Linked DNA regions of Bombyx mori. The protein of the gene in region 1 purifies or fractionates together with the protein of each later gene. This does not show direct contact. Links are inferred from orthologs where the notes say so. Each region holds a gene or a part of one and is shown on either strand. Other genes may lie near its edges.

Evidence for each region.
Region 2: the proteins of tRNA (adenine(58)-N(1))-methyltransferase non-catalytic subunit TRM6 (region 1) and tRNA (adenine(58)-N(1))-methyltransferase catalytic subunit TRMT61A purify together in Homo sapiens (affinity purification with mass spectrometry; 4 studies listed by BioGRID and IntAct, counting the BioPlex papers as one, with this or other methods). This does not show direct contact. The link is inferred for Bombyx mori from reciprocal best matches to the Homo sapiens genes TRMT6 and TRMT61A.

Annotation. Positions count from the first base shown.
Region 1 is NC_085121.1:7,674,069-7,678,583, reverse strand, and holds tRNA (adenine(58)-N(1))-methyltransferase non-catalytic subunit TRM6, read right to left. Parts: upstream 3,014-4,515; 5' UTR 2,956-3,013; coding exon 1,696-2,955; intron 906-1,695; coding exon 825-905; 3' UTR 779-824; downstream 1-778. Other genes in the region: anoctamin-5, read right to left, coding at 3,526-3,648, 3,975-4,111. UniProt on the Homo sapiens protein: Substrate-binding subunit of tRNA (adenine-N(1)-)-methyltransferase, which catalyzes the formation of N(1)-methyladenine at position 58 (m1A58) in initiator methionyl-tRNA.
Region 2 is NC_085113.1:5,808,630-5,813,058, forward strand, and holds the start of tRNA (adenine(58)-N(1))-methyltransferase catalytic subunit TRMT61A, read left to right. Parts: upstream 1-1,472; 5' UTR 1,473-1,713; coding exon 1,714-1,908; intron 1,909-2,629; coding exon 2,630-2,786; intron 2,787-3,115; coding exon 3,116-3,258; intron 3,259-4,161; coding exon 4,162-4,291; intron 4,292-4,429. UniProt on the Homo sapiens protein: Catalytic subunit of tRNA (adenine-N(1)-)-methyltransferase, which catalyzes the formation of N(1)-methyladenine at position 58 (m1A58) in initiator methionyl-tRNA.

The DNA.
Region 1 (4,515 bases):
ATATATATGAATTGCTTGTAGTCATGTAATTTGCAGTCGCTGCTATTTTTATATCATAAATCACTACATTCCTCTATAGAAATGGCAATTACAACATACATACTACAGTTAAATATGATTCTCATAAGTTTGTAAATTATTTTAGGAAAGAATCCACGTCCAAAATAAGCTTTGACAATAAATTACCATTTATAGAATATATGTCATTAAAATATCATTAATCACATTCGAGATAGGGTATTTGGATGAAATCCAAAAATATGTTTATAGAAAAAAAATGCAGCTTTTTTATAGCTTAACACAGCCATGCTTTTGTAGCTTATAGTAAAAGGAACTAAACATTTTAAGTGCCAAATTAATTTGAAAATCTCATCAAAATTATGCAACACATCAACAAAGTTCCTCTCGAATATAAATCACTGTTCAATTTACATTTATAAATAACATCAAATGCATAGTTAACATTGACTGATTTACATTCCTTCACTTACCTTTGTTACTGTACTGTGCAATTTTTACATTTAAAATCATACATGCTTATTTTCATTCTAGTAATAAAAATTTAAGATCTTAGAACAATTTTATTTAACTTGGTTGATAATTTTATTTTACTTTTAAACTTTAATATTATGGAAAATAAAATCAGCAACTGCACTTCATTGCATGTCAGTGTTGAATTGATGCATTTAGACAAAAATGAATCCCTATCATCTATGATCACTTGAGAATATTTAAATAAATTTTGTATCAAAAGAGGTGTTTCTTTTAAAAAAAATACTTTTGTATAAAAATTTATTAATATAAAGTTGTAACAAACATAATTCTCATTTAAGTACATATCCTGATAACAAATACCCACTAGCACCATTCATAATAACATCTGGACGTGTTCGTTCTGGCAAAACCTACAATGTGAAAACAAATGAAAATTTTATTAATATTTAAAAGTTTGGGACTTTCAGAGATAAAATGAGCTGTTAGACATGCTAGAAAAAAATTTTTTTTGTGGGAACAACAGTGGAAATATTAACATCTTAGAGAACATTGTTTTATATATTCCAACAGGCAGATAAATAACCAGACAATCATAAGCCATCAATGATGTTTATATTATTATCAGTGTAACAACTGTTGATGATATTGACCTTGAATGACATGTTTAGACCACCAAAAAAAGATAATTACACATACAAGTAGTATCCTTTATGTTATAATTATCAATAATTTGTCAGTTTTTGTGTGATCCCTTACCTACAAAAAGTTATAAATAAATAGTATAGACAATATACAGATATGCATAATAAAGTTTGATGCAAGTTTGATGATTGCTTGGATTCAGGCTTATCATCTATTTTATTAGTGCAGTCAGTGTGTATTATTTAAGTATAATTTTTCTTTTTGCTGCATTTTCTTATATTATGAAATGATTGGAAATAGTTTTTGATTATAGATTAAGGGTCTTTATCTTTAATCAAATTGTTTTCAGTATGCCATGCACTCTATTAGTGGTATTAAGTAAGTTTACCATGTCTGTTCACAGTATAATGTGATTTACTTAATTTCTATTAGTTTACTTGAGCATAATTATGTTTAAGAGGTGAAATTAATTGGTACTTACTGATTTTTTCTACATATTTGATAAATTATATGGTTGTTGATGTTCAATAATAACAAAATTAAAATAAAGAAGCTTACCTGGTAATTCCTCATCCAGTTGCTTGTGAGTTTTAATGCTGCAACATTACTTTGTGATTTTAAAGCTAAGTATAGATTTTGTAATGGCTCTGATACATTATAGTAAATAACAAATGGTCGGCCAGGTTTGATAAAATTAACTAATTCAAGAAATATATTTTGAGGATCTTCCTTACAAGTTATAACCAATGAATCCAATTTTTTTTCAAGAATTTGTGCAGCATAAATGTTATCGAAATGCCATTTTGGTATCTTTGGATCACCTTTGTTACTATTTTCCTTTAATTCATCAATTACTGGTTCAGATACTTCTTCATCAGGTTTAGCAATTTTTCTTCTAGGTTCATTGTCATTTTCTACTAATTTTCTTTTTAATTGATTTGACTCTGTGATAGGAATTTCTTTTATATTTTCATTGGAATTTGTATCACAACCTTGATAAAATTGTCTTAATGCAGAATAAACATTAACAGAAATACATCTCTTAAGTTGTTCTTCTGGAAAATTCATAGCTAAGAGAGCTTGTTTCTGAGACATGTTGCCGGGGTGCATGTGGACTAGTCTACCATTAGTATTTTGACCAATAGAACTTAATAAAGCTGCAGCAACTAAACCATTAGATCCAGAGTCATATAATAAATGATTTCCCTCACAATAAATATTCACAGTTGTAATAATCTGTGACAAAGTGTCTATTCTTAAATTTTGAACTTTACCAGGTTCTAATTTATACATGATTTCTGCTATCGTTCTTAGGTTAGGTTTTAATATTTGTAAATATTCAAAATATTTCTTTTCTTTCTTCTTTAAATACTTCTCCTGAGAAAACTCTGTTTTATTGTGAAAGGTATTTGAATTAGTAATTAAAGATTCTATAATATCTGAAGCCCTATTAGCGTCATTCTTCAGATCTTCGATTTCTGCAGCTGTCAGTTTCTGTGAGAGTCCATCATCAACGATGTTTCTATTATCACTACCAGATAATTTTATCTCAATCTCATCTTTTAGATTGACCACCTCGTCAGTTAGCTCCACTGTGTATTCCCTGGCTTTTTTGTTACTTTTACTTATCATTTTGAAAGTAGAAAAGTATCGACACCCCTCAATGCCATTTAAATTAATACTGTCTCTTCCTACGGTAATAGTAGAATTAGGTTTATTATACTTGTGAAGCTTTTTGAAATTCTGCTTTTGGATTACAATATAGTCTCCTATTTTAATCATATTGTCACTCATTTTTGAAACTTTTCCCGTGAGCATTGAGCAATAAAGTCTTCAAAGTTTACATAAAAACATAGATTACAGACAAACGTCAAACTTTTTTGATTCGTCCAGTGAATAGGCTAATGAATCCCTACCCATATAGCCAAATCTTTAGTAACGAAGGCTGAAACCATATCTGTCGTGTGAAACACAAGCGAAAGTTGTTAAATCAGATTTATTTGTATAGTTAGCAGACTTTGCTAAAAATAGGGGGAATTTTTCAATTCGAATGTTTTTGTAACTGTGTTACGCAATGTCAATTTAGGTGATATTCTATTGAATACAATAAAACGTTTTTAAGGTAATGTCTCTATTATGGTTAGTGGAAACTTACTATAATAGAGATGGCCACGCACATCTTTTGCGGTAAGTTCCCTTAAATTATTATTTGGTGGTATGAATCTTGTAAAGCACAGAATAATTACATTTGGAAATTGTATTTATTCTTTATACGTAATCAGCTCTTTTTGTATTTGTATGTGTACATTTCGGAAATACAGAAATGCAGTTCAAACAAAACAAGAAATTTAATACAGTATTTATTTTGTCAAGTAGATTTCAAACGCATTATCCTGTGTATGTGATATAAGCTTCTTTCAGTTTCCGTTCTATTTTTATAGTGTCCTCAACGTCTTTCGATGTACCAGAGATTAAATATTGAGCTAATAAGACAACCATCAACCCGACATACTGTAAAAAAAATACATAATAAATAAGACAGTTTAAAATAATTTAACACAAAAAATACTGACCTGCCTAAGGTTTTTTTTGCTGTAGATAGGAGAACAAGTTCGCGGCTCAAAATGAGACTAACACCAATGGGACGAACTGCAGTTAACGGATAGAAACCGGAAAAAATCTCTTCGGACGGTGATAAATATCGATGATGATGGTCAAATGATAGGGGGCACGAAAAAAAGTAAGCTAATTTATGCTTTGCTAAAATATCTTAGAAATTCTTATCATCTACGACGGTTAGATCTTTACGCACAACAGTATCGAGATTTTTTTCTTACCTCATAAATTATTAGTGAACTATTCTCCTGAGTTTTTATTTGGTAATGCTCCGGTAAAGGAACATAATTAGGATAAAAGTAAAAGATGTTAAAATTTGGAAACTGCACCTTATATTCAGGTAGATACAACATCACACCTGTTAAAACAATAACTTCATATAATCTAAGTACTGTAGGTACCTATTGGAAATCAAGAACAACAAATTATAACAGGGGATATTTGTATGGCCGCACGGGTAGATTATGGTGCCTTGTCTAGTTCTAGCATAAGGCAGTTATGCGTTCGGGTTTAAAGGCATAGGTCTGCCGTTATACTACATAACTGAGATTTAGACCTCCTGTCTCAAGAGCGTGACTTCGAAAGCATTGAAGCGTAATAAGACCCTTAACAGGCCGCAAGCCATTGTAACCCAGGACCGTATCTTCCCCGCATATCACGGATACTGTCTTTCTTTGGTCTAAAGGTTGGTCGACGAGATTACACAGCCGAAAGCAGAAAGCATGCCGAAATATTTGCAACATAAAGAAATGTGTCACTGTG
Region 2 (4,429 bases), on another chromosome or scaffold:
ATATAGGAGGAGATATTGGAGTGGACAGAACATCTGAATATGATCTACTAACAGGAGGATGTAATTTCAGGGCTTCTGCATATGATAGACAACTTTTGGCCATAGATTCTTTGATGGATTTTTGTCTAAAAAATTCAGGGCATTTGCGGCTAGTGGCGAAATGTGATCCAGAACAAAGGCAACATATGACATTTTCCTCTTCAATATTACAACTGTCCCCTGAGTGGCCATTACCACATTTAAAACAACGGGGAGAAGACCTACATTGTGTTTTAATGTGACCATATCGACAGCATTGAAAACACTGAATAGTTGGGTATATGTACAGATCAACAGGTAAAGAATTATAACATAAATATACACGTTTTGGTAAGACTTGGCCATCGAAGGTGAGCACTACTGTTTCAATTGGAATAAAATTAGTGTTACCATTATTAATTTGTTTTTTATTTAATCTTCTTACTTTAAGAATAGGTCCACATCCAAATGGAACATTTATATTTTTTAAAATCTCTTCTTCTGTCCAGTCCGTTGGAATTCCTCTTACTACACCCATACGTGTTACATTATTAGTCGGAATGAAAGTTTTAAAATTATTCTTAATTACTGCAGGATGATGTAGGAAGGCATTAGCATCTTCAAAATGGCTAAACGCAAGTAAAATTCTGTTTCGACCAATGCGCTTCAGGCTACCATTTACAATATTTTTAAATGAATTTTTTTTTAAAAACTGCCCAAATGAAATTGGGTGGATAGAGGAGTTATCATTTGGATTTTGTTGTATTTTTTGAACATGGACTATAAAAGGCGAGGCATCTGACGACTGGTAAAGAATTCTACCTATAGACTGCTGTGTCCGCTTTTTGTTGTCAGTAGAAGATTGAGACGCTGAATTTGCATTAATTATCGATTGAGAATTTGACTGCATTGGGGTATCAATGGTTGCAGGAGGGGCTAAATCACATCTACAGTCTGATTCACAACTATCAATAGCAGATTTAAGATGTTTTCTTTTTTTCTTGTTGCAATGCTTGCAGATCTTACTAGCATGTGATCTTTTTCTTTTGGAGTTAGTTCTAGTTTGGTTAGAGCAATCGGAATCTAGTACAGATCCCTCAGTATCTATTCCAGAATTAAAATCAATAGTAATTTCATTCGACACCTGGGGGCCGTAGCCCCCAGGGTCGTCCGGATCAAACATTAATACAATCTAAGAAATTATAAGAATAACTTACCAAATCAAACGAAGAAAATAATAAAACGTGGATTAAATAGATACAAATATACTAAAATATTAATACTATATTACCCAACTGATCCAATTAACATCAAAAATTAATTTTAATTATAGATAAACGACCAGCACATTCGAAGTTTCCCGCGCTTTTTTTCCTGTCAAAAAAATAGACATTTTGAAATGTTGAACTGATTCCGTTTAATTCCATTTAAAGCAATTTTAATATTTTTATTGATTCTTGGTTTAATCGGTGTTTCGTCGAAATTTCAAAATTTGATTAAAATATTTAAATTAAAATACTTTAATAGCAAAAATCCGTAGAACTCGAAATTAAAATGTTGATCATTTTTCGGGAACATTGGTTGTCATAGGAAAAACAGAACGTCGATTGTCAAAACTAAATGACAGACCTCGTGGTTTGTTTACAAACTTATTAGTTTTGAATTTCATAAATAGTTAAGAAAATTTGACTTAAAATGAGTTTTAGAAATTATAAGGATAAAGTAGATGAAGGAGATACAGTGATCTTATACCTTAGTAACAATTTATATGCAATAGATGTTAAGACTGAAGTTAAAAATAAGAAAGGTGAAACGATTGAGAATGTCTTCCAAACACCTTTCGGTGCTTTAAAAGTAAGGAACTTAATTGGTATACAGTATGGAAGTCGGGTATGTATTAGAATTATTTTTAATACCGAACGCTACATTTCATTTATAGTTTAATATTTCTGATAATAACTACATAACCTAACCGACTACATAACAAATAGGTTAATTATTACAGAAGCCCACAGTTATCAATTACTACAAGCAATTTAAAGTATCTGGTCAAAATCTCAACTGTATTATGAAATAGCTACTCTGACCTTTAAACTGGAAGTCAGATAGATGGGAAGATGATATCTGCCTGTGCATGCCTCCGATTCCATGCCCTACTACTAGTAAAAAGTTTTCATAAGTTGCAATTGTGAAAAAGCTAAAATAAAGAAATATCAAAAATTTTAATATTTGTGATACATAATTAACTAAAATGTTGTCAAAGAGGTAAACCTATTTATATGTAACAGAGTAAATGGAGCAATAGGCAGTAACTTGGCATTGTTGATCTCCACGAGCAATTATAAGCACTTACCATTAGGTTGGCTTACATAGATAATAATAAAAATAATGCGAAAATGAATTATTTACTGACTTTGGAATAGCAAAACTGTTTATTATTGCAACATGTTATTGCTGTTTTCAAATCACTTACTTGGAAATTATCAAAAGAAATATTTTAAGTCAAAACAATAAACGAACATGGTTTAAATTCATATATTTTGTGCATTACATGGAAAATGCACATATCCACATAGAAGCAAATCATCTCATAATTAAAGCATATCAACAGATAGAACTATCAAAGGGCTGGGGACACATACTACAGCCAACCCCTGAGATGTGGTCCCTAACATTGCCTCACCGCACTCAAATTATATACACGCCTGACATAAGCATGATCCTGTTCCAATTGGACTTAGTTCCTGGCTGTGTTGTCATCGAAGCTGGTGAGTTGTATACTTGTAGTTTTCTTAAAGTTCCGATTTGGTAATTTTGATTAACTGACATTCTAAAACAATGCCTTTTGGAGAGTGATCCCTTTTATCATATCAGATCATGAACAACACATGTCATCTGATTTAAATATGATAGTTATAATATTCGCAACCCTAAAGCAATATAGAATTCCACCCTAGACAGAATTCTTAGGATTAATTTTGATTAAATGAACTTTGAGAATAACTGTCCCTTAACATAATGTCTGTAGACATGTTAATGACAAACCACATCTTAAACAGTACATAACTCTATGTTAATGCCTACATTATTTTATCAGGTACAGGTAGTGGCTCCTTAACTCATGCACTCATACGTCGCGTGCGGCCAGAAGGGCATGTTTACACTTTTGATTTTCATGAGCACAGATCCAAAATTGCTAGAGAAGAGTTTGAGGCTCATGATGTTGCCGACTTTGTTACTGTGAGTTTATTAACTATTGTACTCTACATTTTTAGTGTAAATAATAAAATAGGCTGTATAAAGAAAATGCAGTGAAATTTAAGTTACATCTGAGACTGAGCTAAGCAAATATGAAATATAATTGTTAAAGAATCAAAATAATTACTACTAACACTTAATACAAAGTTTTTTGTAAGGTCTTTTTTGTTTCGATTTCATAGTATATAATAGATGGTGGAATTATCTATGAGATTTTTAATTGAAATATTAGCTATCTATTCTATACATCTAATCTACATATCTTTTAAATTATTATGGATAGTATTCACTTTGTCAAACCTTAGTCCTACAATTTACAATAAAAAAATCACAAAATTTTTGAAGTAAATTTCAATGTCATATTTATTTTATTCTCATGTATATCTAGTTTCCTTCATCTCAATTCCATTTCTTCCTCATTGTAATTTTATGTGTTTATTCTATAACTAGCGACCCGCCCTCGCTTCGTTTCGGAAACATTAAATTTTATTATTGATAGCTGAGTCCCGCGATGTTACCCGCGGTTAGCCGGGTGAAGCCTCGGGGAAAAGTTAGTCCAAAAAAAGTAGTCTAAGTTACTCCTTATATCATCAGCTACCTATCAGTGAAAGACCCGTCAAAATCGGTCCAGCCGTTCCAGAGATTAGCCGGAACAAACAGACAGACAGACAGAATAAAATTTAAAAAAATGTTATTTTGGTGTATGTACCGTATATTCATATTATGCATGTAGTAAAAAGAGACTATTTCAATATTACAAACAGACACTCCAATTTTATGTATATGTATAGATAAGCCAGGACCTTGAATTTTTTACCCAAATGATTAACAAGCAACTGAAGAGAAAAAAGTCGAAAAATCTGTAGGTAGTTAAAAATGTTTTAGGCGCAACACAGAGACATCATACGAGACGGCTTTTCTGAAGAATTGAATGGGAAAGCGGATGCCGTGTTTTTGGATTTACCCAGTCCTTGGCTTGGAATTTCTCATGCAGTAAAAGCCATCAAAGAACAAGGTAAGACACTAATTTCAACATTTCGGTAGAAAGTTTGAATTTTTCATTTTATCTTGGAAACATTACCACCGCCCCGCCTATTTCTGCTGTGAAGCAGTAATGCGTTTCGGTTTGAAGGGTGGGGCAGCCGTTGTGACT